Anolis sagrei: one gene and its partners. The protein of the gene in region 3 interacts with the protein of the main gene of each other region in a pairwise test. Links are inferred from orthologs where the notes say so. Each region holds a gene or a part of one and is shown on either strand. Other genes may lie near its edges. The genes, in order: KCTD17, NIF3L1, DMC1 and PSMA3.

The links.
Region 1: the proteins of DMC1 (region 3) and KCTD17 interact in binary tests that used the Homo sapiens proteins (3 or more experiments, as listed by UniProt). The two-hybrid records come from large-scale screens. The link is inferred for Anolis sagrei from reciprocal best matches to the Homo sapiens genes DMC1 and KCTD17.
Region 2: the proteins of DMC1 (region 3) and NIF3L1 interact in binary tests that used the Homo sapiens proteins (3 or more experiments, as listed by UniProt). The two-hybrid records come from large-scale screens. The link is inferred for Anolis sagrei from reciprocal best matches to the Homo sapiens genes DMC1 and NIF3L1.
Region 4: the proteins of DMC1 (region 3) and PSMA3 interact in binary tests that used the Homo sapiens proteins (3 or more experiments, as listed by UniProt). The two-hybrid records come from large-scale screens. The link is inferred for Anolis sagrei from reciprocal best matches to the Homo sapiens genes DMC1 and PSMA3.

Annotation. Positions count from the first base shown.
Region 1 is NC_090025.1:166,112,677-166,120,243, forward strand, and holds the start of KCTD17 (BTB/POZ domain-containing protein KCTD17), read right to left. Parts: upstream 3,006-7,567; 5' UTR 2,850-3,005; coding exon 2,604-2,849; intron 1-2,603. UniProt on the Homo sapiens protein: Substrate-adapter for CUL3-RING ubiquitin ligase complexes which mediates the ubiquitination and subsequent proteasomal degradation of TCHP, a protein involved in ciliogenesis down-regulation.
Region 2 is NC_090021.1:176,902,470-176,910,355, forward strand, and holds the start of NIF3L1 (NIF3-like protein 1), read left to right. Parts: upstream 1-4,885; 5' UTR 4,886-4,991; intron 4,992-6,224; 5' UTR 6,225-6,232; coding exon 6,233-6,668; intron 6,669-7,886. Other genes in the region: PPIL3 (peptidyl-prolyl cis-trans isomerase-like 3), read right to left, coding at 2,639-2,641. UniProt on the Homo sapiens protein: May function as a transcriptional corepressor through its interaction with COPS2, negatively regulating the expression of genes involved in neuronal differentiation.
Region 3 is NC_090025.1:163,973,149-163,980,469, reverse strand, and holds the start of DMC1 (meiotic recombination protein DMC1/LIM15 homolog), read right to left. Parts: upstream 3,019-7,321; 5' UTR 1,888-3,018; coding exon 1,831-1,887; intron 1,338-1,830; coding exon 1,293-1,337; intron 723-1,292; coding exon 576-722; intron 1-575. UniProt on the Homo sapiens protein: Participates in meiotic recombination, specifically in homologous strand assimilation, which is required for the resolution of meiotic double-strand breaks.
Region 4 is NC_090021.1:334,685,887-334,692,763, reverse strand, and holds the start of PSMA3 (proteasome subunit alpha type-3), read left to right. Parts: upstream 1-3,862; 5' UTR 3,863-3,970; coding exon 3,971-3,991; intron 3,992-6,877. UniProt on the Homo sapiens protein: Component of the 20S core proteasome complex involved in the proteolytic degradation of most intracellular proteins. This complex plays numerous essential roles within the cell by associating with different regulatory particles.

The DNA of each region.
Region 1 (7,567 bases), about 2.1 Mb from region 3:
TGAAAGGCACAGGAGCCAAACAATAAAAGTATTTCCCCGGGGCCACATTTCACCACAGTCCAACTCTGGTGTACACAATGAAAGTGATGCCAGTAGTGCCTCAGGGATAAATATTTTCAACAAAATACATGTCATGGGTCAGATCCCCCAGAAGAGAGATCTTCAGAGACCTGTGGGGTGGGAAAGAGTTCCAATCCCTTGGTTTCACAGTTAACTTGATTTCATTGCTAACTCTAGTACTGACTGCAGCTGGGCTCTTACCCAAAGTTTTATTCTATTCCAACTCTCTGCGTTTCGACCCGATCCCAGCCCAGAGAACTTTGCCTCTTTAAGCAGCTTATGTACACTGCTGGGCCGGCTGTCCCCTTTCCTAAATCTCCCCAAATCCAAAACCTAATGGGTGGGGGCATGTGCAGTGGAGAAAAAATCTGGTGTATCCTGAATCTAAATTGAGAAACCCCAGGGTCACAGGTTGGAAGCAAAACTGCTGTGCGGATGTGACTTTGCAGAAACAAAGAATTGAACGAAAGAGGTTTTCCTTTTCATGTGGGAGTACTGAAAACTGCCATCACAGGGAAGTCAACTGGGGGTCTGAGAGGCCTGGGGTGCATCTACACTGTAATGAAAAATCTCAGGACTCCAAAGCACTGAGCCATGGCAATTAAAGCGATGTCAAACTGCATTCATTTTACAGTGCAGGTGCACTCTTTGTCTATTAGTTGGAAGTTACAGGAAAGCACACTTTTTGATGTCTTTCCCCGGATAGGATCAAGGGTCTGGAGAACAAGCTCTATGAGGAGTGGCTTAAAGAGCTGGGCATGTTTAGCCTGAAGAAGAGAAGGCTGAGAAGAGACATGATGGCCATGTATAAATATGTGTGGGGAAGTCATAGGGAGCAGGGAGCAGCTTTGTTTTCTGCTGCCCTGGAGACAAGGATGCGTAACAATAGCTTCAAACTACAGGAAAGGAAATTCTACCTGAACATTAGAAAGAACTTCCTGACTGTAAGAGCTGTTCAGCAGTGGAACTCTCTGCCCCGGAGTGTGGTGGAGGCTCCTTCTTTGGAAGCTTTTAAGCAGAGGCTGGATGGACAGGGGGTGCTTTGAATGCAATTTTCCTGCTCCTTGGCAGGAGGTTGGGACTGCAAAGAAGGAGGAGCCCCCACCACATTCCGGGGCAGAGAGTTCCACTGCTGAACAGATATCACAGTCAGGAAGTTCTTCCTCATGTTCAGGTAGAATCTCCTTTCCTGTCAAACTGAACTTTTCCTTCTTTGGAATCCCTGTGAAGCCTTTTGGATCCGAGAGACTATAGATGCAAATGGAAGGAAAAAGAGATCCCATCTACACATTAGGAAGAGCAGAGTTGGGATGGATGACTCTGGGGATCCCTCCCAACTCTAGGATTCTAGGAAGGATTGTTTTCTCAAGTCAGGAGCGACTTGGGAAAGTGCAAGTCGCTTCTGGTGTGAGAGAATTGGCCATCTGCAAGGACATTGCCCAGGGGAACGCCTGGATGTTTTGATGTTTTACCATCCTTCTCTCATGTCCCTGCACGGAGAACTGGAGCTGACAGAGGGAGCTCATCCATGCTCTCCCTGGATTCGCACCTCCAACCTGTCAATTTTCAGTCCTGCTGGCACAAGGGTTTAATCCATTGCGTCACCGGGGGTTCCTGAGGTGAGATCCAAATCAACGAATTTTGAGCCCCATTTTCTATCCAATGGCCTATCCTTAGTCCAATCAGAAAAGAAGTTTGCTTGTTTAATAAGGCCCGCATGGCATAAGCCAGAAATCCTTCAAACAATGACAACGTAAAAATAAAGGGGGAAGAAGAAGGAAAACACTGGGACTTCACTCTTGGGGATTTTCTACCTCCAAGGAAGACTCTTTCATTGGAGTACAATTTGGAACTTTTGTGCACATGTGTGTGTCAGGACCGACTTGAGAAACTGTAAGTCAGTTCTGACACTGTTTATGTTTGTGTGTGTCAGGAGTGACTTGAGGAACTGTAAGTCGATCCTGACATTGTTTGTGTGTGTGTGTCAGGAGCGACTTGGGAAACTGCAAGTCGCTTCTGGTGTGAGAGAATTGGCCGTCTGCAAGGACGTTACCCAGGGGACGCCCGGATGTTTTGATGTTTTACCATCCTTGTGTTAGGCTTCTCTCATGCCCCCCATGGGAAGCTGGAGCTGACAGAGGGAGCTCACCCCGCTCTTCCCGGATTCGAACCTCCTACCTGCAGGCTCAAGAGTTTATTGTAACCCATGGCGCCACCGGAGGCTCCAGTTTGGGAGTACAACTCTAAAACACCTAACAGTATTTACAAATAGACACCAAGATCTGCCTGGAGATATGTGTGCATCCAAACGGGCCATGAGCGCTTGGGGATCCCTATGGAGGCTTTGGGATTCCTTTGGAGTCTAACCAACAGGGCACATGTACAGGCAAAGCATTTCAGCGATTCCAATGGAAGTGCATGCCCGGGGATGACAACACAGAGCGCTCAGAACATGCTCTAACCGAGGCGCCCCTTCCTTCCTTCCTTCCTTCCTTCCTTCCTTCTTTGCTGGCTTCCCTCCCTGCCTCCCTTTGTTCGCTCACCCGATCCGATTGCAGCTCCTCGCCTTGGCAGAGGCGGCAAAGGAAGGACTTCTGCTCGCGGCACAGGGTCTGCCGGGTGGTCAAGAAGACCGTGCCGCCGACGTTGAGCCGGACCCACTTGCCTCGGGGGCCGGGACCCGGGGGGCTGCCTTCCCAGCCATAAGAAGGAGCAGCAGGAGCAGGAGGAGCAGCAGCAGCAGCAGCCTTCGGGCCCGCCGGCGCCGCCTCGCCTCGCTCCATCCTCATCTCCGTCCCTCCTCCTCCTCCTCCTCCTCCTCCTCGCCGCCGCCACAAACAGGCGGGACTCCCCTCGGGCAGGTGTAGTGAGGCCGGCGCTGGAGGATTCTGGGACTTGTAGTTTTGTTCCTTTCCCCCACGACGGAAAGGAGGGGCTGAGAGAATGCAGTGGGAGGGTCTTCCTTGCTCCCCCCCCCCTCCTTTTTTTTCAGAAGGAGCTGAGAAGCTTTCCAAGAGCTTCAGATGCCTCTGCTGTGATTGAGGAAAAAGCTAAGCAGCGCCACCCGGGTGAACTGCATCTGCTCTTAAACCGACTTGCATGAAATCTGCTATGAACGAGAGCCCTCCCGAGAGAACCCCACCAACTGAACCACCTAAACTGGTCTATCCAATGGTCCCTGACCAACTGAACCACCTAAACTGGTCTATCCAATGGTCCCTGACCAACTGAACCACCTAAACTGGTCTATCCAATGGTCCCTGACCAACTGAACCACCTAAAGTGGTCTATCCAATGGTCCCTGACCAACTGAACCACCTAAACTGGACTTGACAGGCCAATGGATACTCCAAAGCATGCTCTACTCCGAACTCCAGAACAGAAAACAGAATGTTGGTGGGCAGGAAAAGAGATTTAAAGATTGACTCAAAGCCAACCCTAAAAACTCTGACATAGATACTAAAAACTGGGAAGCCCTGGCCCTTGAGTGCTCCAGCTGGAGGTCAGCTGTGACCAGCAGTGCTATGGAATTTGAAGAGCAGGAATAGAGGGCAAAAGAGAGAAACGTGCCAAGAGGAAGCCATGTCAAGCCCACCCTGACCGGGACCACCTCCCACCTGGAACCAACATGAATAGGGCTCCACAGTCACCTACAAGTCCACCGCCAGTACATCCTACTCGGACAACGAGGGATCGCCTAAGTAAGTAAGGATACTTCGCCACAGACATCAGAAGAGCTGCAAGAGCGAGAACAAGCTAGGAAAGTAAAGACAAAGATCCACCCAGAGGAAAAGTGTTCTTGCCATACTTCAAGGGATAATAATAATAATAATAATAATAATAATAATAATAATAATAATTAACCACTGACTGCATAGGGAAGCTGATGAGGAAACACAACCTACAAACTATCTACAGACCCACCAAGAAAATCCAACAAATACTACATTCAGCAAAGGACAAGAGGGATCCTCTCACTTCTGCAGGAGTCTACCATGTACCATGCAGCTGTGGACAAGTCTACATACTACATAGGGACCACCAAACACAGCGCCCAAGCACGAATCAAGGAACATGAAAGGCACTGCAGACTAATTCAACCAGAGAAGTCAGCCATAGCAGAGCACCTGATGAACCAACCTGGACACAGCATTTTATTTGAGAACACAGAAGTGCTGGAACACACTAACAACTATCATGTCAGACTACACAAAGAAGCCATTGATATCCACAAGCATGTGGACAATTTCAACAGAAAGGAAGAAACCATGAAAATGCATAAAATCTGGCTACTAGTATTTTTTAAAAAAAAACTCTAAAATTATAAGAGTAAATAAAGAACAACACTCAAACACAGGGGAATTCCAGACAAAAAATAATCAGGGACAGTTAGTCACCACTCAACAAAGGATTCCCCCAGGCAGTAACAAGCCACACCTTGGAAATTGTCAGGCCACCAAATGTTAATTAAGGTGACTAACTGAAACATTCACACCTAGCTCCAACAGGCAAGAGTTCTTTCTCCCACCCTGGACATTCCACAGATATATAAACTCAATTTTCCTAGTTTCCAATAGGCCTCACAACCTCTGAGGATGCCTGCCATAGATGCAGGCAAAATGTCAGGATGGAATGCTTTTAGAACATGACCACATAACCCAAAAAACCTACAAAAACCCAGACCCCTCAGGGTTCATTGTGGAACAGTGGTTCCCAACCTTTATTTTGACCAGGGACCACTCTCCAATATTAGCACCAAAAGGGTTACAAATCAGGTTTTGGTCAACTTTAGATTTGGTTTGGTTATTTTGAGTGCTGATTCAGAAAATGGCATTGGCTAAACCACATCAGCTCTAGTTTCTGATACATAACGTATGTCATCCAGTAGTCACCATCTGCTCGCCCACAGAAAACCATATGGTCTGGAGAACAAGCCTTATGAGGAGAAGCTTAAAGAGCTGGGCATAAGAGAAGGCTGAGAGGAGACATGATGAGGACCATGTATAAATATGTGAAGGGAAGTCAGGGGATGGAGGGAGCAAGCTTGTTTTCTGCTGCCCTGGAAACTAGGATGTGGAACAATAGCTTCAAACTACTACCAGAACATTAGGAAGAACTTCCTGTGAGAGCTGTTCAGCAGTGGGACTCTCTGACCTGGACCATGGTGGAAGGTCCTACTTTGCAGGCTTTTAAGCAGAGGCTGGATGGCCATCTATCGAAGGTGCTTTGAATGCAATTTTCCTGATCCTTGGCAGGAAGTTGGACTCGATGGCCCCCGAGTTCTCTGCCAACTCAGTGATTCTATGATTCTATGATCTTCAAAAAGGCCCGCAAACAATTGAGGATGCTTAGCCCTGAGGTAGGGCAGTTCAAGTGATGTCCGCTCACCCATAGAAAAACATATGGTCTGGAGAACAAGCTTTATGAGTTTGCTACTGAACACAATTCAAAGTGCTGGCTTTAGCCTATAAAGCCCTAACCTGTTCCGGCCCAGCTTACCTGTCTGAATATATCTCTCCTTTTGAACCATCTAGGAACTTAAGATCATCTGGGGAGTCCCTGCTCTTAATCCCGCCTTTCTCGCAGGTGCATTTGGCGGGGACGAGAGACAGGGTCTTCTCAGTGGTGGCCCCTCAGCTGTGGAACTCCTTTCCCAGGGATATTAGAGCAGCCCTTTCTGTCTTGACCTTTCAGAAATGAGTAAAAACCTGGCTGTTCGAATAAGCTTTTGGAAGCACAGCATAACAGATAAATACAGTACAATGAAATAATGAACACGGAAAGGCTTAAACGTTGTAAATGGATAAGAAGTTGAACTGGAAGACATTGATGATTATAGTTTAGATGGTTTTATATGGATTTTTATTATGTGATATTAAATGTTTTTAATTGATATGTATGTATCTTTGTTGTGGCATCTAATTGTTGCCAATCTGTACACCGTCCTGAGTAGCCTTCGGGCTGAGAAAAGTGGGATAAAAATGCTGTAAATAATTAAATAAATAAATGTACATGTGATCAGTCTTGTTTTTAAATACAGGCACTTGTTCACAGCTGATCACAACTGATTGTAACTCCTGGCTTTGTGCACATTAGGTCACAATTTCCCAAGCTGTTTGATGTGGTGGACAGCAATGTAGTAAGGAGCTCTAGCATATATGTGCCACTTATTGCCATATTTGCATAGTTTCCAGTAAACTTGTTGCTCTTGGCTCAGAAACCAGCCTTGCGTAGCACTGAATTAGGTGGCAAACACAACTGCAAGTCCATAACTTGTGACGCAGCATTTAAAACAGGCTGGATAAATGCGGTCTTTTAGATGTGGAATTATAATGCCCAGCAAGCTAAAGCAATAGTGAAGGGTTTCAGAAGTCATAAGTCAATATTGGAGGGCCACAACCTGCTTAGCTTTGTCTTAGTATAGAATATACATAGAATGTCCCATGATATCTATAAAAATAATATGCAGGGCAGTCAGCTAAAAGCAGGATTTGGCTAGTTACTTAAGATAGATATCTATGACAGATGCATCCATCTGTAGAATAGATGCATCCATAATTAAACCTCCCTTCCAAATGGTGTTATATCACTCACAGATTTTGCAATCATGCTGTGACATGATTCAGAGGCAGTACTTTTCTTTTGCAGATGTGTTTTGTCACTTGCAGAACAGAAGTGTACAAATGTAGAGCAGCGGCTTCCTTAGCTGGTATTGCTAAATTCTTTTAACATATTGGGGGTTTCAAAAATTAAAAAGGCACCTTGGTGTTTTTCCAGAGTATAAAACAGGCTTTACAGGAAGTGTAAATTATTTGTGGTATACCTGAAAGCTTTCCTTGAACCCTTCCCACTGAATTTTCGCCAGGAGCTATCCCTTCGCTTCACTTTCCTTGGTCAGCTTTCCTGAACTTGGTGCTCTCCTAATACAGTAGATTACAGCAGTGTGTTTGGTCTTCCAGATATTTTGGACTTTAGCTCCCAGAATCCTCGATCATCGGGCAATGCAGGTGAAGCTTCTGAGAGTTGAAGATCCAAACACCTCAAGAATTAAAATTTAGGAAAACATCAAACACTTCAAATTGTGTTTGGGATGACAAGAGGTAAAAGCCAAAACATCTGAATAGCAGAGAGTTTGCCCTATATTGGGGATACTGGTGAGCAAAAGTAGTGATGGGAGATTGTGGGAGTTGCAATCCAACATCTTGGAGAACCGCTGTTGTGTGTCCATATTATATGACATGATTTGGCCACATCAAAAGACTTCAGAATGTAAAAAAATGTGTAATTCTAAATGTGAAATATCATTCCATATCATCGCTTTCCGCCAAGGATTATTATAAAGAGATTGTGTCATTAGGGATGGAAATAATATTTTAAAATGTTCTTAAAATAATATGTTTCCTAAGTGTTAAGTAATTCTGATTAGAAGCAATCTGAACTGATAAGTGTTGTATATCAGCCAGAGACTGCGGAGGCTGATGGTTTAACTAATGCTTTAGAGAGGATT
Region 2 (7,886 bases), on a different chromosome or scaffold from region 3:
TGTAGTTTTGACAGCTATTCAGACTTTACATGCCTCCCCCCCCCCCTTTTTTTTTGGTCGTGTCAGGAGCGACATGAGAAACTGCAAGTCGCTTCTGGTGTGAGAGAATTGGCCGTCTGCAAGGACGTTGCCCAGGGGACGCCCGGATGTTTTGATGTTTTATCATCCTTGTGGGAGGCTTCTCTCATGTCCCCACATGAGGAGCTGGAGCTGACAGAGAGAGCTCATCCGCACTCTCCCCGGATTCGAACCTGCGACCTGTCGGTCTTCAGTCCTGCTGGCACAGGGGTTTAACCCACTGCACTCCCGGGAGCTCCTATGCCTCCCCCTGACTGGCTGAGAAACCTTGCCGAATAGGATCCACACAGGGATTTTTTTTTGTCGTGTCAGGAGCAACCTGAGAAACTGCAAGTCACTTCTGGTGTGAGAGAATTGGCCGTCTGCAAGGACGTTGCTCAGGGGACGCCCGGATGATTTGACACAGGGATTGGCCAGGGGTTTCCCTGATGTCACTGACAGGAGGAGGAGATCCCCATGGCAGCAAGAAGAACAACAACTGATGTTTGGTCACTTTAAAGGTCCAGTTTGTTGCAGAGACACCCGCTGGAAGGGCACAAAACTGAGGGAAGGGATGACATAAGTATTCAGATGATTCTTTGATCTTGATTGACTTAAGTGTCCAGTTCCAGAGAGACAAAGGTGCAAGACCCACAGGACAAAAGATGATAATCCCAAATAACAAGAGGCTGGGCTGCCTATTCAGAAGATTAATGTATTCATATTTGTTTAGCTTTCACTTCCATGAGAATGGCAGCCTCCATCCTCATTTGAACAGGAAAACATCCTAAGCATATCTTTGTAGCAAAAGGATCAGATCATCTGTCTCACATACATACACAAAGGATTTTATCTGGCTTGGGAGATCCTTGTTTTATATAGCAATTTCCGTTCCCAGGAGCTTATGCAAACAGGGGGCATTGGGGCAGCAGATACCTTCAGGCTACATTTGATACAAGTTTATACATTTAGATATTGATACAGTACATAAGCAATACAAGTTACACAGAGAGTAGCATTTTTATACATTCATTAAGGCAGGGGTCCTCAAACTTTTTAAACAGAGGGCCAGGTCACAGTCCCCCAAACTGTTGGAGGGCTGGATTATAATTTGAAAAAAACATGAATGAATTCCTATGCACACTGCACATATCTTATTTGTAGTGCAAAAGACACTTTAAAAGAATATAATAATTAAAATGAAGGACAATTTTAACAAATATAAAGTTATTAGTATTTCAATGGGAAGTGTGGGTCTGCTTTTGGCTGATGAAATAGGATTGTTATATTTGTTGTTGTTGTGTGCTTTCAAGTCTTTTCAAACTTAGGTTGACCCTGAGCGAGGGCCAGGTAAATGACCTTGGAGGGCCGCATCCGGCCCCCGGGCCTTAGTTTGAGGACCCCTGCATTAAGGGGTTAAGCTTTGATAGAGTTTGGGACACAGTTCTAGCTAGATCCTCTGCGGCTTCAATATCGCAAATCTCTGAATGGGTGGGAAATGTTTTAAAATTAAAGAAAAAATCATATTTCTTGCTTGGGGTCTTTTTATTGTTCATAACCTTTTGGAGGGGGTGTGCCATGGCTTGACAACATCATCATGGGAAAAAGGTGTCTCAACAGAAGTTTTATTACCAATCCTGTTTCCGCAAAAAAACATTTTTTCCAAAATCTGAATAGGGGCACAGACAGCAAAACAAATGCCACAGGGGTTTTAACCTTTCCCTATGCTGTCCAAAGCTTATATATGGGGGGAGGGGTAGATGGAGATACGCTTAAAAATGTTTCTGTTCTAATTAAACATACAAATTCAACTTCATAACAAACCTACAAAGTGACAGACTTTGTATTTCTAGGTGCAAAGATTACTGCAGATGCAGACTGTAGCCAGGAAATCAGAAGACGCTTACTTCTTGGGAGGAGAGCAATGTCCAGTCTCGATAAAATAGTAAAGAGTAGAGACATCAGACTGGCAACAAAGATCCGCCTAGTCAAAGCCATGGTCTTCCCTGTAGTAACCTATGGATGTGAGAGCTGGACCTTAGGGAAGGCTGAGCGAAGGAAGATCGATGCTTTTGAGCTGTGGTGCTGGAGGAAAGTGCTGAGAGTGCCTTGGACTGCGAGAAGATCCAACCAGTCCATCCTCCAGGAAATAAAGCCTGACTGCTCATTGGAGGGAAGGATACTAGAGACAAAGTTGAAGTACTTTGGCCACATCATGAGGAGACAGGAAAGCCTAGAGAGGACAATTATGCTGGGGAAAGTGGAAGGCAAAAGGAAGAGGGGCCGACCAAGGGCAAGATGGATTGATGGCATCCTTGAAGTGACTGGACTGACCTTGAAGGAGCTGGGGGTGGTGACGGCCGACAGGGAGCTCTGGCGTGGGCTGGTCCATGAGGTCACGAAGAGTCGGAGATGACTGAACGAATGAACAACAACAACAACAAACCTACAGAATCTTGTTTGTAACTTGAGGACTGCCTGTATACTCTAAAATAGTGTGTTTCTAAATAGACAGCTACCTGTTTCTCAAGGAATACCTTGCACGCAGTTAGGAAGAAGATATTGAAACAACCAGCCTCACCATCTGTGCAGACAAGGAATTCAAATCAGAGCCACCTGAAGAGTTTCTGCAAAAAAACCAGAAAAAATAGCTATAATGAGTGGAAATGTGGCTTTGCATGCTAAAAGCAATATTGCTCTAGTAGTAAAGGCATGGAGGAACCACTTGGATGAGAATGATTGTACTATTTTTGTTTTTAGCAGAGTGACCAGACTGAATCCCACAGTTGAGAAAGATTAGCATATTTATTATGACATGAAAAGCAATCCAAAATGTTAAAGCTATAATGCATCTGTCAGTTTCTAAGGTGCCAAAAGCTCTGTTTTTCCTGCAACAAGTCAATTAAAACTGAATTTAACATTAGCATGGTTTTTAAAAACCCGGAAGAATTGGCATTATTTTAAAAGGGCAGAGGCATGTACTATTTGCAAGGTTAAAGAGTTCTTATCCAAAATGATTGGGACCAGAAGAGTTTTGGATTTCAGAATATCTGCATGTACAGAAGTAGATAATGAGATATCTTGGAGACAGGACCTAAGTATATACACCTTATACATAAAGTCTAGATCCACTATGCTAAAAAAAGTTCAAATAGGAGTATTTGAACTGTCAGGGGTACTTTGATTGTGCTTTTCATGCATTGATAGTTATGTACATGTGTATTCTGAATACATGAAGTTGTGAATAAACCAAGTATGTTATTTTTAACTAACTCTACTTCATTTTTGTCTAGAGTGCATGATATTAATCACTGAGCCTGGAATCCCAGGTTGCAGCGGTGGCCAGGGGAGTGTTCACACAATTAAAACTTGTGCGCCAGCTGCACCTGTACCTTGGGAAGTCAGACTTGGCCACAGTGGTCCACGCTCTCGTTACATCTAGGATAGACTACTGCAACGCACTCTACATGGGGTTGCCTTTGAAGACTGCTCGGAAACTTCAAATAGTCCAATGAGAGGCAGCCAGGTTAATAACTGAGGCGGCATACAGGGAGCATACAACTCCCATGTTATGCCCAAATTACCCGGCCCAAATTACCTGTCCGAACGCATCTCCCCCTATGAACCATCACGGAGATTAAGATCCTCTGGGGAGTCCCTGCTTTCCGTCCCGCCATTGTCACAGGCACGATTGGTGGAGACGAGAGACAGGGCCTTCTCGGTGATTGTTCCCCGGCTATGGAACTCCCTTCCTGGTGAGATCAGGTCGGCCCCCTCTCTCCTGTCCTTTAGAAGGATGGTAAAAACTTGACTCTGGGACCAAGCTTTCGGGACAGGGCAATAAAGCGGCAATAGGAAAGATGACCAGGCCAATGATTTGATGCGGATGACTAGGACGGTTTTAAATGGTGTATTTTAATATTTTGATAAATGTTTTTAATGTTTATGTATGTGTCCCAGCATTGAATGTTTGCCGTATATATGCTGTTCTCCGCCCTGAGTCCCCTTTGAGGTGAGAAGGGCGGAAAATAAATGTTTTAAATCAATAAATAAAACGAGTTTTTTATGGGAGAGAAAAAATATTTTTGGACACTAAAAAAACTTCTGAAGCACTGCTGTTTTTTATGCACTGGAAAAATCTGTTTTCCTAACAGATCAGAGATAACAGGTTATTCAGTCTAACAACTGAAACCATTGCCTTGCATTATTATATCTGGTTGCATACCACAAGAGAAGGGTCTCCTCTAAAGGGTTTTTGGCTCTACTCTGAAAGGTCTAAAAAGATCTAAAAAGTTATGATCTCCAAATGGTTATGAATGCCATTTTCTCCTTCTACTGGGAGGAGGCTGATAGGCATGAAGTAACTGGTTCAAAACACATAATGAATTCAACTGAAATACATTTTAAAACACACAACCCCCCCCCCTCCACACACACACACATACACACAAAATCTCACTCAAAACGACCATGGAAAGGTTTTACTCCTGCAAAGAGATCAGGGGTGCGCCTCTACTCTGTGGAATGAATGCTTTTTGATCCCATGGCTCGCTGCTCATGGGAGTTGTAGTTTTACAAGGTCTTGCGCCTTCTCCACCCAAGAGTACTGGATGCCACGCCAAACTGCAGCTCCCAGGCCTGCATAGCATTGAGAAGAGGCGGTTCCAGTGGGACCAAACGGCACCCATTGCACTACAGCGGGGCCTGCTTCCCAGGAAGCGCCTGGCCCAATGGGGCGCTTACTTACCTTCTTCCCGCCAAAAGGCCCCTTTCCTCTTGCTTGTTGTCGTCCTCCTACTTCCTGGTGAGGCCCCGCCCCCGCTGCCACCCGCTAGGCCACGCCCCCTTCCTCTCTCCAGCAGAAGAGGGCCGCCTTGCATTCAAAACGTGCTCCAGCTGGAAGCCCTCCCAGTCTATCCCAGGCTGGAAGAGAGGTGAGAGGGCCATTCAGAGACAACCCCCCCCCCCCAATACCAGGAAGGAAGGGATTTTAAATGAAGGAGGGAGGAAATTGGGAAGGGAAGTTGCTGGGATGGATCTACACTGAGGAATGAATGCAGTTTGACCACACATTTATGCCCTGGCTCAGTGCTATGGGATCAGGCAGTACATTTTCAGATCTGCTCATCTGTCAAGGATTAGGGTTGTTGTAGGTTTTTTTCGGGCTATATGGCCATGGTCTAGAGGCATTCTCTCCTGCCGTTTCGCCTGCATCTATGGCAAGCATCCTCAGAGGTAGTGAGGTCTGTTGGAACTAGGAAAAAGGGGTTTATATATCTGTGGAATGACCAGGGTGAGACAAAGGACTCTTGTCTGCTGGAGCTAGGTGTGAATGTTTCAACTGATCACCTTCATTAGCATTTGAAGGCCTGCCTGAGCCTGGGAAAATCTCTTGCTGGGAGGTGTTAATCTGTGCCTGGTTGTTTCCTCTCTGTTGTTTTGCTGTTGTAATTTTAGAGTTTTTTTAATACTGGTAGCCATATTTTATTCATTTTCATGGTCTCCTCCTTTCTGTTGAAATTGTCCCCATGCTTGTGGATTTCAATGGCTTCTCTGTGTAGTCTGACATGGTGGTTGTTGGTGTGGTCCAGCATTTCTGTGTTCTCAAAGCACCTGATGAACCAGCCTGGACACAGCATATTATTTGAGAACACAGAAATGCTGGACCACACCAACAACCACCATGTCAGACTACACAGAGGTTCAATTCCATTATTGCTGGAGTTCAGAATGCTCTTTGATTGTAGGTGAACTACAAATACCAGCAACTACAACTCCCAAATGACAAAATCATTTTTTTGAGTCATGGTCACTCCATGGGTTAGTAGGTGTCTTGTAGCCAAATTTGGCAGCAATTCGTCCAGTGGTTGTTGAGTTATGTTAATCCTACAAACGAACATTATATTTTTATTTATATAGATGTATTTGTGAAATATCCAGTTTTTTGTAGGGCCCTTCCAGACAGGCCCTATATCCCATAGTTTGATCCCAAGTTTTCTGTTTATCCCTGATTTCTGATTATCTGGTAGTGCAGACTCATATAATCCAGTGTAAAGTAGAAAACCTGGGATCAGATCCTGGGATATAGGGCCTGTCTAGGAGGGCCCTAAGAATGTACTATTTATCCTAGTATTTCTAATTGTATCGTTGCCTTTGGCGTTCTTTAGGCACCTGCATGCAGTTCTCCTACCTGAAGCCAACTCCGCAGCGCCTCTTGAGTGTCCGGTCCTGGATTGATGTGCCTTTGAGAGCCTTCATGGATCTTAAGGTCCTGGTTTCTTCCCTCAATGGGTTTGCTCCGCTGTCGCTGGCTGAGAGTTGGGACAATGTGGGGCTCCTGGTTGAACCAAGCCCTCCCCATACCGTCAGCACCCTCTTTTTGACCAACGACTTGACCGAGGAAGTGATGGAGGAGGCCCTCCAGAAGAAAGCCAATCTTATTCTGTCTTACCACCCACCCATTTTTCAGCCACTCAAACGCCTAACGTGGAAAACGTGGAAAGAGCGTCTCATTATCCAAGCCCTGGAAAACAGAGTTGCCATTTATTCTCCCCATACAGCCTACGATGCTGTGCCCCATGGAGTCAACAACTGGCTTGCCAAAGGACTTGGTGAGACATCCCTTTTCTGAATTTTTCAAGAATTGGCAATGATGTCTGTTGTCTTTTAAAAACATTTACATTGTAATTTTACTCTCAATGCTACTGTTTTCTGTTGCTGAAAGCTGACATGTCAGCACCAAGCTCACGTCACGCAAATAGTGGCTTACTTATAGATGGTTGTGTCAAGTTATGTGTGGAGGGGAAGCTGAGAGTAGCAAACCAATTACATGGTTTAAACAATGGCATATATGAAAAGGTAAGTTCACACCATTCTTTGAAGCATAATGAAGATTAGGTGATTGACTTGTGTGTCCTCCCATGGTAGGCAAAATTCCCTCTCTTTGACTGACAGTCCTCATCATGACAAGCTGTTTTGACATCATCCTTCACTACAGTTAACGCTACACATGTTTCCTTATGGTAAGCCACTTTGAGTCTCCTTGTGGAGAGAGAAAGCGGGGTATAAATAAACATTGTAATAATAATGATAATATTTATTTATTTATTTTTGTCATGTCAGGAGCGACTTGAGAAACTGCAAGTCGCTTCTGGTGTGAGAGAATTGGCCGTCTGCAAGGACATTGCCCAGGGGACGCCCGGATGATTTTTGATGTTTTATCATCCTTGTGGGAGGCTTCTCTCATGTCCCCGCATGAGGAGCTGGAGCTGATAGAGGGAGCTCATCTGCTTCTCCCCGGATTCGAACCTGCGACCTGTCGGTCTTCAATCCAGCCGGCACAGGGGGTTTAACCCTCTACGCCACCAGGGGCTCAATAATAATAATAATAATAATAATAATAATAATAATATACAAAGACTCTGGCACATGCCAGTAAAGGTGGTCCCAGTGGTGATTGCACTTAAAAACAGTGGTGATCTGCACTTAAAAACAATTGACGCTGACAAAATTGCCTTGTCAGCTGCAAAAGGCCAAAACTCGGACCTGCATGCATTATTTGCCGATACGTCACACAGTCCTAGACACTTGGGAAGTGTCCAACGTGTGACAAAAGCCAGCATAGTGATCTTGTTTGCTGCATACTAATCTTGTGTATTTATCTATCTATCTATCTATTATTATTATTATTGACACAAAAGCACAGTATGTCACAGCAAACGAGATCTATATGCTGGATTTCGTTTTACAAAATCACAAGTCGAACACTTCCCAAGCGTCTAGGACTGTATTATTATTATTATTATTATTATTATTATTATTATTATTAT
Region 3 (7,321 bases):
CCCTTGCCTTTCTCAGGATACTTCCTCATCACCATGGAGTGAAACAATTAAACCAATCAGAGACTCTTCTGTATTTCCTGATATGTACATAGATTTTCCTGGGCTTGCTGCCCTCCAGGAGAGCCGCACCCCAACAACTGATTGGCCCTCCTCAGGCCAACCCCCTTCCATCTCCTTCCCTCTACCAGGAATCCCCACCTGGAGGCGGCAACGTCACCAGAGCACCAGCCAATCAGGACACATGTATAAAACCTCGTGTCTCTGTATTGCATGTTATGCCTGTACATTTTTGGCACCAACCTTACTTGCATCCTTCCTGGATAGATCGTAAAATAAACCTTGGTGGCTGTCTTCAGCTGGTGAGTGTGTTCTTTATTCTGGAACACTGGCTGTTAGCATAAATGCTCGCCAGGAACAGACCCTTCATATCCGCAGTCCTAGTCCAAATTCAACCCCATAGTACCACAACAATTCTAATCTACAATGGCTTGCTAAGCATATTAACTATTATACATTCTTAACATCCAAAGGACCACTGATGATAATCTTCATTATGAGCAATAGAACTTTCTTACTATAAGCTTGTTGGCAGCCTCTTTTATCTTCTCCACTTTAGCCTCTGAAAGTCCCTTCACGTTGCATAGTGCTCGTTTTGTTGTCATTTGAATCCCTTTGATTGTACAAATTCCCACTGATTTTAACTTTTTGATATCAGCCACATTCTATGAAAAGAGAAAATATGATTTGAACTCTTGATGTCTGTGGATGTTATTCCTGGAACATTAATCAGTCACAATTTTATTTTTCCTTACATTTAGGTTTTTCTAAAATGGGTTTTTCAGTGCTGATTTAGGATTTTGACCCTGTTCTCCAGAGTCATTGTCATGGTTCAAACTACTATGCCACATTGGCTCTATACAATCTGTAATTTATTAGAACAGTGACACAGAATTATTATTTTTTGTCTGTTGAGATCATGGAGAGACACATTCAGGGTGGAAGGAGAATATGTCAGAGGAAGAAATATTTCAGTGCCTAGGACAAATGCCTGCAGTATGCAGCGGCGTCACCCTTTTCTCACTTTCTGCCACAATATTTTTTTTCTTTCTGGCACCATTCTCTCTGCTCCATATCTTTCTTTCTATCCAGCAGGGTGCCAAAGGAGAAACAGACCACTCTTTCCAGAGGTCTGAAGTTATCAAAGATTTTAAACATTTGACTGTGGATCTTGACTGGCTATCCTTTTACAAGACAGACAGTATTAGTAAAGAAACACTTTAGAATGTACTTACTATTCCATGCTTCTGTAAAAGATCAATATCCTGGAAAAAGGATTCCTGAGGGAATATGAAAAAAAAACAACAACCAGAAGCTTGGTTATTTTGCTATTGAGGTTGAAACAGATGTGGATCTCCACCCCAAGGTTAGACCAAGGATTGAAAGGATTTTGCTGTCTGACAGGTAATCTCTATCTGTTAGGAAGTCCTTCTTATCACCCTCTGGTTGCCTGGACTTACAATATGTATAGCATGAATGGGCAAAGTCAATAAACCACTCTTGGGATGCCAAATATGGGGGAAACATGCATTCTCCAGTGGCTGTCTGATCACTTCCAACCGCAGATACTGAGGTTCCTGGGTTCAGTTCTGATCCGCATTTAGCGAATACTGTGACCACTGTTCTAGCCTCAAACTGATTCCTGGGGTGTTTGTGTAGGTGCTGTACATTGAAACAAGTTTGTTTTAATCCACTACTAAACTTCATTATGCCTTCAGTATAGATAGAAGCATCCTCAATGACAACAAGTGCTGATCAGCTTTGAACCCTTACCTCATCATCTTGGTATCCTGGTTCTTCTTGTACAACTTGATCTTCCATAGATTTCATTGTGAAGGAAGTGGTTCTAAGATGTCAGTATGTACTGCAGAAAGCAATTATATAATGTTAACATATATAAAGATAAAAAGAAATATCAACAAATAGTATATTAACAACAACAAAACTGTATTATATCCTGCCCCATTTCCTCGTGGGGACTTAGGGTGGCTCACAGACATAAAATGGCCAATATTCAATACCCTGTACAGTAATAAATAAGTAATACAATTTAAATAAAATACAATTTAAATAGAAGTGCATTTTGAGACTGGCACTGATCTAAGTACTCTCCGAATCAATGACAAAGAAAGATAGATTAATAGGTCCTTTTTAAATAAAGGGTTAAAATTTAAGAAATGGTTCTTGGCATATTAGCCTTTGAAATTAATCTGGCTCATTTTCAGTTCACCATACTTGTGAATATTTGTAATACATATTTAAAGCAAAACTATTGCTGTAAGAGACATAGTTACTCTTCACACTAATGAGCTTTTGCAACCAGATTTATTTATTTATTATTCAAACTTATATGCCGCCACTCCCCTGGGGCTCGGAGCAGCTTACACGAACAGGCTAAAAACTAACACAATTTAAAAACAATTTAAAACAATTTAAAAACAACTTAAAAACAATATTAAATGTGCATCTTATTACCATATATATATAAGGGAAAGTTGTACATTTCCATTGAACCCCAATATTTCCTTCACTCTGAAGCAGCAATAACTAGTTTATCAGAGAAAAGTGCTAGACTCTCTTCCCTACATCACTAGATAATTTGATACTATAACCTTGCAGATTTTATATGGCATTGTTTCCAAGTGCTTCCCACACAAAAACTAGACAATCAAATTGTTTTGAGAAAACGAGACAGTAAAAATTGTAGATTTCACAATCTCAAAAATAAAGTTACTGTTTCACTTTCAGTATGTTTCATTCTCTTCTAATTATAGCATACTTGAACCTGTAGGATGACACTTGTCACCCAATCACTCAGCTTCAATTCAGTGAGATAACAGCTGAAAAGAAAAGAGTTATTGAATCAAGGAAAAGAAATTCTACTGCTTTCCACGCATCATGTTTCAAAATACCTTTTTGGAAAATATCAAAATATTTTTTCCTGAAGTGATATAACAATAATTATTGCAGTATTGAAAGGTGGGAAATAGTAATGGAAAAAAAGAAAAAGAACATGTCTATCTATTTTTGAAGATGACCTTGTTTCATCATTGTTCTCAGCTCTAAAATGCATAAAGATAGCCAGTTGGATCTGAAATATAAAGAGAATTCCACGCAGAAAATGCAAAATTAAAACCACAGATGTGAGAAACAGATAGGGCGTTGGATATCTGAAGTTGGAGAAGTTGCTGCTCATCTGTTTACGCTCATTTTTAATTTAGTTTTAATTAATTTAGCTACAAGCATAATCTACACATTTACAATGGCATATAGGCCCAGGAATAGAAAATAGGATTGCTGCTGAGGAAGGGAGAAGATGGCCTGCTCCTTACAATCCATGTACCAAATCTTGACGGATTTTACTTCAGCTTTATGAGGCATCATCCTCCATAGTCCAGAAGGGAAGGATAATTTCGGGAGTCTGGAACAGGCCATGCAACACACAAACACACTTTCATGCTACAAGAAGAAATGGATGCGGGATCAGGAGGAATGGTAACACCCACTAAAGATGATTGCCTAACTGATGCATATTAAGGCTACACTCACATAGGCCCAAAACACTGTGTCTTAGCCATAACATCAGTATATACAGATTATAGGGTTGACAATCTATATAAATAAAAATGTAATGTTTGTTTGTGGGATTAACATAACTCAAAAACCACTGGGCCAAGCGATACCAAATTTGGATACAATACACCTATCAGGCCAACGAGTGACCATCACTCATAAAAACACTGAAAAACAGTGAAAGAGATTTTAAAAGCCAAAAATTAAAAGTAATACATTACAACACATGCGCAAAACCACATATATACACATATAAACATACATACATACACACACAAAGCACATATACACAGACTGGCCGCAGCAATGCGTGGCAGGGGATGGCTAGTCTATATAAATAAAAAAGTAATGTTCATTTGTGGTATTAGCATAACTTAAAAACCACTCAATGAATTGACACCAAATTTGGACACAATACACCCATCAGGCCAATGAGAAACCATCACTCATAAAAACACAGAAGAGACTTAAAATGCTAAAAAAAAAAAAAAAAATACAACGCATGCGCAAAACCATATATATACATGGCAAACACACACATATACACATATATATACACACACAAAGCACATATACACAGACTAGGCCACAGCAAATATATAATATGGCTAATATATAATATTTCTGGTGGGTTTGTATCTGTGTGTAAAACCCCTCATGTATACATAATTACAGTTGCAGCAAGTATTTCAGAAAAGCAAATTTCTGAAATACTATGGAGATTAACTGAGGCAAGTTGCACTCTCTCAGCCTCAGAGGAAGGCAATGGTAAACAACTTGCCAAGAAAACCCTGTAATGGGGGCAATTTTCGGGTTCCCATAGACTAGAAAGGACTTGAGGGCACACAACAATAATATATTATGTTTGCTTCATAAGGATGGTAGGAACAAATCCCCAGGGTACACAAAATGTGCTCCATCGGAACAACTCCCACCAGATGACAGTGGAAGTCACCTTTCAAAGGATGAGGAAGTCTTCTGACACGCCTTAGTTATTTCCAGTGTGGGATTAAGTCACCTTTCCCAGATCTTTCTCAACATATATTTGTGATCTGTCTGTCTGTCTGTCTATCTATCTATCTATCTATCTATCTATCTATCTCTTTTTAACTCAGTGACACTGCTATAAAAATAAAATGAAAATATAGCAAAGGAATTTGCTGGGGAAAGAGGGCTTTGATGCTTCAAGCGAGAGGCGGCTCACGAGGCCAGACTAGGCCGAGTTACCTTCTTCTCCCGCTTGACCTGAGAAGAAAGCGAGCCTTTCTCCAAAAAATCTTGACTGAAAGGAATATTTGGACAAAAAATGAATAAGGAGATATTATGTATCGACTGTTTGTGATCTGTATTGGTATGAGCTGCCTTGAATCTTTTTTTGGAGCGAGGGGAGATGAAATGTATTGTGTCAAGCCATCACATTCACTAGGGTTAGGGGCACAGGACGTAAAATTACCAGGGAGAACACTTCTCTACAATTTCTTTACGTCTTCTTGCATGACTCTATAGCAGGCATGGGCAAACTTCAGCCCTCTGACTGTTTTGGACTACAACTCCCATCATTCCTAACAACCTCAGGCCCCTTCCTTTCCCCTCTCAGTCGCTTAAGCTTAAAGGAACAGCCCCTCTCAGCTAAGGAACAGCTAAGGAAACTAAGTATGTGTAATGTATTGTCGAAGGCTTTCATGGCTGGCATCACTGGGTTGTTGTAGGTTTTTCGGGCTATCTGGCCATGTTCTAGAAGCATTCTCTCATGACGTTTCACCTGCATCTATGGCAGGCATCCTCAGAGGTTGTTGAGGATCCAGCAGCTAGCTTTGGTGAATAAACATGTGAAGCAATGAAGACATATGAAATATCCTAAACAGAATGATTCCTAGTTTGTTTGTTTGTTTTTGTTTTTTTGCATAAACAGATTTTCTATGAAAACAAACAAATTCATTATTAACTCTCAGCCCCTTAGTTAGCATATGGAGTTGTGGAAAGACACATTATGGTGAAGCACAAAACTAAGATGCCGCAATTAGATGTGCTTTTCTAATTTCCAATTTCAAAATAAATTTTCAAAATGAAATAAAACAGGTATGTACACGTGCACAAGAATTATCTTTATTAAATATTTACCATGGGAACAAAGGATACAGCGTGATTTATCATCTAATTTACAAAGGAGGGGATTACTTTTCATTCCTTGGAAATGTCAAAAATCCCTTTAAAGGACTAACAAAAGATTCTGTATTTATAAGCTCAATCTTTCCTCTTAAAATAAGAACTAAAGACTAAGGAAAGAAATGACATATTTCCATTAAGTCCATATTTTCATACAGTCTCTCACAGCAAAACTGTTGGATAAAATTTACAAATCCTGATTAACCTGGTTTGATTTACGCTATCGTGCTATTTTATGTGTCTTCATATTGACCTCACAACCTCTGAGGATGCTTGCCATAGATGCAGGCGAAACGTCAGGAGATAATGCTTCTAGAACATGGCCATATAGCCCGAAAAACCTACAACAACTAAGTATGTTTAGTTTGCAGAAGAGAAGGTTGGGGAGTAATATGCTTCTTCCTTTCCTGGAAACTCTTGAGACCAAAGGCCAATGGCTTGTTGCATCAACACTGGCCCACAGCTCACCGCTGTGAATTACGAAGGTAAAATATGGTGTAAATATCCTTTTCTGGTGCTCAAGAAACTGTGAACACGGATCAACAGATTCAAATGACAAGAAAAGAGAATCAGGAGCAGTTGATGAACCAACCTGGCCACAGCATATTATCAGAGAACACAGAACTGCTGGACCACTCTAACAACCACCAGGTACACTACTACTCAGAGAAGCCATTGAAATCCACAAGCATGTGGACAATTTCAACAGAAAGGAAAAAACCATAAAAATGAACAAAGTCTGGCTCCCAGTATTTTAAAAACTCTAAAATCAGGACAGTAAATAAAGAACAACATTCAAAAACGGGAATTCCAGACAGGAAACAATTAGGGCCAGCTAACACATAACAACAAAGAATTTCCCCCCAGGCAGCAACCAGCCAGGCTTTGAAGCTGCAAGGCCATTAAATGCTAATCAAGGTGGACCATTGCAACATTCACACTTGCCTCAAACAGACAAGAGTTCTTTCTCCCACCTGGACATTCCACAGATATATAAACCCCATTTTCCTAGTTTCCAACAGACCTCACAACCTCTGCGGATAGATGTGGGTGAAACGTCAGGAGGGAATGCTTATGGAACATGGCCATACTTGGCCGAAAAACTCACAGGAACCCAGTGCTTCCAGCCATGAAAGTCTTCAACAACACAAATCAAGGGAACCTCTTTGATAGTATTGACAGTTGTGATTGGAAGTGGCTAGTTTTAACTACAGATCGTCTGCATTTTAAATTGTGTTTTTATTTTATTTGATGTATTAATAGTGGGTTTTTTTATACTCATGTACTGCTTGTGTTATATACTACACTTGTAGCACCTTGTAAGCCGCCCCAAGTCCCTTTATTAATAAGGATACCCTACTCCAGAGGATAGTAGACTATCCTTCACTATTGTTATGGGGTTACCATTTCCCATGGTGGTTTAACTGTGGATTCCTGCATGGCAATGGATTGGACTAGCAGACTCTTGTGGTTCCCCACAAATCTATAATTCTGTGGTTCTAGTTCCTATGTGTATCAGTGCAAA
Region 4 (6,877 bases), on a different chromosome or scaffold from region 3:
ACATTCCAGCTTCTGGCCACCAGGGAAGCTGTCACTTCACTGCAGTTTCTCATGAGAATATGGGCCTAGCAATGATAATTCCCTCCCTCCCTCTATGAGCTCTCAAGATTTGGGTTTGGAAAACAATCTGACACCTGAGAATTTTAATGAGCAGCCAGAAAGGGAGCTGAAGAATAGCCAAAACAGAGTCTTAAATGCAAAGGCAAAGTTTCCAATATCCAAAGGCAAATAACATGAAGTATAATCCATTAGCATTGGTTAAACAAGAATCCATGGCAGCATGACAAGGTCCCCAAAAACCAAGATCAAAAGCTAAGTCCCAAAGAGCTAAAAGCTTTCCCCAAAAGCCGAGTTAATTCCAGAGAGGTTAACGGGGTTTAAGCAACATTGCACTGGCAAAGGATTGACTTCAATCAGATCGTTAAATATGTTTCCCTAGCATGAAAGCATTACGTTGACCTCAAACTTCCCGTTTGTTGGCAAGCTGAGCACTTTGACATATCCTTAATTGCAAACAGTCCTCCCTAATCAAATCTCCATCACCTTCAAGGCCAGATAACTCATTATCCTGAGACTGGTTATCCTGGGAACCAAGAGGCACTGAGCTCCCAGATGGAGCGGCCGACTCCACCGGCAGATGTGAAGATTCACTTAAATCATGATCTAAAACAACATACCCTTCTCTGGGAAACAGAAATGCCGTCTCTTCTTCAGAATCAACACTGTCTGTCTCAACAACAGGGACAGAAATCTGTAACCCATCCTCCTCCTTGTCCTGAGGAAACTCAGGCTCAGAAAGCTCAGGCTCAAAGTGAGCCACAACACAATGGCATAGACACACAACATATATAGGCCGACACTCAGAGGCTATTTAACATTCCAGCTTCTGGCCACCAGGGAAGCTGTCACTTCACTGCAGTTTCTCATGAGAATATGGGCCTAGCAATGATAATTCCCTCCCTCCCTCTATGAGCTCTCAAGATTTGGGTTTGGAAAACAATCTGACACCTGAGAATTTTAATGAGCAGCCAGAAAGGGAGCTGAAGAATAGGCTGCAGGTGATTAGCCAGGATCGACAGCAAACTTCAGTGTTTTCGTTGCTCTGAAAAACTTTGCCTGATAAGGGGTAAATGTGGGAGAAAGCGAAACCAATTTCTGAGTTTTGGGGTATAAGGTTTGCCTCAAGGGGAAACCTATTAGATCAGGCATCGTTTGGAAATCAAGTTCATGTGCCAGGAGCGGGACGCAGGGAGCATACAACGCCCTTGTTGTTCCAGCTCCACTGGCTGCCGATATGCTACCGGACCCAATTTAAGGTGCTGGTGTTATCCTACAAAGCCCTAAACGGTTCCGGCCCAAAATACCTTTCAGACCGCATCTCGGCCTATGAGCCCACGAGGGCCTTGAGATCGTCTGGGGAGGCCCTTCTCTCGATCCCGCCTGCTTCACAGGCACGTCTGGCGGGGACGAGAGAGAGGGCCTTCTCGGTGGTGGCCCCCCGGCTGTGGAACGCCCTCCCTGTTGACATCAGGCAGGCGCCCTCCCTTATGTCTTTTCGTAAGAGCCTAAAGACATGGCTATTTGAGAAGGCATTCAATTAAGTGTACATCAACTGGTAATGACAACTGGAACGGAATATGGATTACGAGTTTGGTTATGATTCTACGATAAGACGGAGCGGATTACCTTAGTATAATTATATTAGTGTGTATTAGTGATATGTTGATTTTTTGTCGTGCTTTATTGTAAACTGTTTTTTATATGTTGTACACCGCCGTGAGTCGCCCTAAGGGGCTGAGAACGGCGGTCAACAAATGCAGCAAATAAAATAAATAAATAAATAAATGGAAATCCTGTTCAAGGGGTCCTGTTTCTCTGGAGTCTTTTAGCCTTTTGGATTGTCTTTGCATCCTGTTGATTCCTGTCTGGATTAATGCTGTCTTGGATTGCTTTTATATCTGGTGTGGACATTGCTTTGTGTTACTACCTTTTATGGACTTACCACTTTTTGGAACATTCTTATTTTCTTACAAGCATTTATTACTTCTGGCTATTTACTAAGCTTGAATAACATATTTGTTTCTTCACTCTTCGTGTGGTGTGTTTTAAAGTCAGAGGGCTTTTTCCTGACCTGGAGTGCAACAGTTATAATATATATAATATATAATATATGTTGCAACATTTGTTGTTCTCACTAGATTTGGAATATTGTGATTCTGATGGAAATAAGAAAGAAAAATATAAGGAAATATTTTTTCAGTCAATTTCTTGTACAGCTGGAGGGATCTGAAGATAATTTTCTGTTCATCTGCATATGTACATTCTCACCTGAATGTAAAAGTAATTGAATTTACAGGGTTGTTGTAGGTTTTTTCGGGCTATATGGCTATGGTCTAGAGGCATTCTCTCCTGATGTTTTGCCTGCATCTATGGCAAGCATCCTCAGAGGTAGTGAGGTCTGTTGGAAGTAGGAAAAAGGGTTTATATATCTGTGGGATGACCAGGGTGAGACAAAGGACTCTTGTCTGCTGGAGCTAGGTGTGAATGTTTCAGCTGACCACCTTGATTAGCATTTGATGGTTTGGCAGTGCCTGGGGGAATCTTTTGTTGAGAGGTGATTAGATGTGCCTGATTGTTTACTCTCTGTAAACAGCAAAACAACAGAGGGGAAACAATCAGGCACATCAAAGAGTTGGAAGAGACCTCATGGGCCATCCAGTCCAACCCCATTCTGCCAAGAAGCAGGAATATTGCATTCAAATCACCCCTGACAGATGGCCATCCAGCCTCTGTTTAAAAGCTTCCAAAGAAGGAGCCTCCACCACACTCCGGGGCAGAGAGTTCCACTGCTGAACGGCTCTCACAGTCAGGAAGCTCTTCCTGCTGTTCAGATGGAATCTCCTCTCTCTGACAGTGCCTAGAGCAAACTTTTTTGAGAGGTGATTAGATGTCCTTGTTTGTTTCCTCTCTGTTGTTGTGCTGTTGTAATTTTAGAGTTTTTTAAATATTGGTAGCCAGATTTTGTTCATTTTCATGGTTTCCTCTTTTCTGTTGAAATTGTCCACATGCTTCTTGTGGATTTCAATGGCTTCTCTGTGTAGTCTGACATGGTGGTTGTTGGTGTGGTCCAGCATTTCTGTGTTCTCAAATAATATGCTGTGTCCAGGCTGGTTCATCAGGTGCTCTGCTATGGCTGACTTCTCTGGTTGAAGTAGTCTGCAGTTTGGTGGTCCCTATGTAGGCACATGTAATCACCTCTCAAAAAAAGATTCCCCCAGGCACTGCCAAACCATCAAATGCTAATTAAAGTGGTCAGTTGAAACATTCATAGTATATATAATATATGTTGCAACATTTGTTGCTCTCACTAGATTTGGCATATTGTGATTCTGATGGAAATATAAAAGAAAAATATAAGGAATTTTTTTTTCAGTCAATTTCTTGTACAGCTGTGACACAGTTATTGTTGATGAAGTCCCAAAGAGGTGAATTGAGCTTTTAAAAGAAGATTCCAGCTATTCAGTTTACCATAATAGGAGAAATAATAGGTTTTATTTGTAGATTTTGATGTAAACAAAAACTGACCCGCCCAACGTGGGGCTCGAACCCACGACCCTGGGATTAAGAGTCCCATGCTCTACCGACTGAGCTAGCCGGGCGCTGACAAAGACCCCTCACAGAACCTTCCTTGTGGAATTCTTCGCGCATGCGTATTCGCAGATTATCGATTGTGGATTTCTACGCATGCGCATTCTTTTCCTCTGCTGCCGCGCGCCAACTGCGGCTGCCGTGACTGGGCGCATTCTTGGCCCCGCCCCTTCTGCTAACGGCGAGAGGAGATTGGTCGAAGCTCCAGAGGCGGTTGTCCAATGGTTGGGCGCGTTGCTGAGCAGTGACTGAGCAGTGTGAGTGAGGCGGCGGCAAAGAAGAATCAGGAGGGCCGGCTGTTTGCTCTCAGGCCTCTTCCGCCATGAGTTCCATCGGCACCGGGGTAAGTCAGGTAGAGGAGAAGGGAGAGGGCTCCCCCGAAAAGGAAAACAAAGGCGGTGGTGGTTAATCTCTCCTCACTTCGAGGGTCTCGGCCTCACACAGTGCGGTGACGTCATATCCGCGCGACTCGTAGAGAGAGGCCTAGCCAGTTGTAGGCCGCTGACTCACTTGAAGGGAAAGCGAAAGCGAAGGAATCAAGTAGGAGCTTCTAGACCAAGCCTGGCCCAACTTGGGCCCTCCAGGTGTTTTGGACTTCAACTCCCACAATTCCTAACAGCCTATGACTGGTATAGACACATCCATAGTCCAATGTTTAAAGCATTACACCATCTATTTTCCTATATAACAGTGTTGCTCAACCTTCCTAATGCCGTGACCCGTTCCTCATGTTGTGGTGACTCCCAACCATAAAACTATTTTAGTTGCTACGTCCCACCTCGGAATTTAAGATCTTCTGGGGAGGCCCTGCTCTCGGCCCCACCTTTATCACAAGTGAGACTGGTGGGGACGAGGGACAGGGCCTTCTCGGTGGTGGCCCCTCGCCTGTGGAATGCACTCCTCTCCTTCAGAAGGAAGTTAAACACCTGGATGTGGGACCAGGCCATCGACCTCAGAGTTTAAGATCTTCTGGGGAGGCCCTGCTCTTGGCCCCACCTTTATCACAAGTGAGACAGGTGGGGACGAGGGACAGGGCCTTCTCGGTGGTGGCCCCTTGCCTGTGGAATGCACTCCTCTCCTTCAGAAGGAAGTTAAACACCTGGATGTGGGACCAGGCCTTCGACCTCAGAGTTTAAGATCTTCTGGGTGCTCTCGGCCCCACCTTTATCACAAGTGAGACAGGTGGGGATGAGGGACAGGGCCTTCTCGGTGGTGGCCCCTCGCCTGTGGAATGCACTCCTCTCCTTCAGAAGGAAGTTAAACACCTGGATGTGGGACCAGGCCTTCGACCTCAGAGTTTACTCAGCCCCCCCGAAAACCCCCTGAAAAAAAATCACACCCCCCCCCGAAACGAAATCCTAGCTATGGGCCTGGCTGTGACTGTATTATTTTGATTGTTTTAATTAGTTATAATTGTTGACATTATCTTGGAATTTTGTATATTGTATTTTGTGAATTGTCGGCCATCGAATTGTGCCTTTTGTAAGCCGCCCTGAGTCCCCCCTAGGGGGTTGAGAAAGGTGTGGTAGAAGCACCCCAAATAAATAAATAAATAAACTTGATTTGTCGTGTCAGAGCAACCAGTCAATTATATTACATTTGTAACAGAACAAAGCAAACAAACAGACAAAATACAAAACTTGTGAGTTTGGTAGTTGGTTAAATGTCCTTTGACCAGTATCTGGCCACTTGGAGTGCCTCCGGTGTTGCTGCAAGAAGGTCCTTCATTGTGCATGTGGCAGGGCTCAGGTTGCATTGCAGCAGGTGGTCAGTGGTTTGCTCTTCTCCACACTCGCATGTCGAGGATTCCACTTTTTTTGGCCCCATTTCTGAAGGTTGGCTCTGCATCTCGTGGTGCCAGAGCGCAGTCTGTTCAGCGCCTTCCAAGTCGCCCAGTCTTCTGTGTGCCCAGGGGGGAGTCTCTCATTTGGTATCAGCCATTGGTTGAGGTTCTGGGTTTGAGCCATAAACTGTCATTTTGCTATTGTTATGAAACGTGATGTAAATATCTGATATGCAGGATGTATTTTCATTCCCTGGACTAAATTTGGCACAAATACTCGTTACGCCCAAATTAGAATTCTGGTGCGATTGGGAGAGAGGAGTTATTTTTGGGGATTGGAGTTGCTGGGATGTATAGTTCACCTACAATCAAAGAGCATTCTGAACCTCACCAATGATGGAATTGAACCAAACTTGGCACACAGAACTCCCATGGCCAACAGAAAATGCTGGAAGGGTTTGGTGGGTATTGACGTTGAGTTTTGGAATTGTAGTTCGACTACATCCAGAGAGCATTGTGAACTCAAACAATAATGGATCTGGACCTAACTTGGCACGAATACTCAATTATTATTATTATTATTATTATTATTATTATTATTATTATTTATACCCCACCACCATCTCCCCAAGGGACTTGGTGCGGCTTACATGAGGCCAAGCCCAACAGCACATCAATAAAACAGAAAAACAATAAACAAAACAATACAATGCTATACATTGTATTGGGACTAGAATATGCCCAAATGCAACCACTGGTGGGGTAATCACACCAAATTTGGCAATAAAACGTCTCACAACACAAGGAGTGACCATCACTCAAAAATTACGATTTTGTCATTTAGGAATTGTAGTTGCTGGGATTTATAGTTCACCTACAATCAAAGAGCATTCTGGACCTCACCAATGATGGAATTGAACCAAACTTGGCACACAGAACTCTCATGGCAAACAAAAAATGCTGGAAGGGTTTCGTGGGCATTGACCTTAAGTTTTAGAGTTGTAGTTCACCTACATCCAGAGGGCACTGTGGACTCAAACAATAATGGATCTGCACCAAACTTGGCACGAATACTCAATATAATAATAATAATAACAAATAACAACAAATAACAACAAATTAAACATTTAAACAGTATAAAACCACAATAGAAGCAATAAAAACAACAAAACCAACATCATTATCATCGGCGTCTCCTAGTTAAATAACGTTGTCCAAGTTCCATTGTTGAATGACAATGCTTGCTCATATAACCATGTCGTAACTTATCTCCGAAACGTTAAGAATGAGGGAGCTGATCTAATCTCCTTAGGGAGGGTGTTCCATAGCCGAGGGGCCACCACAGAGAAGGCCCTGTCTCTTGTCCCCACCAAACATACTTGTGATGAGGGCGGGATTGAGAGCAGGGCCTCCCCAGACGATCTTAAAGTCCTAGATGGTTCATAA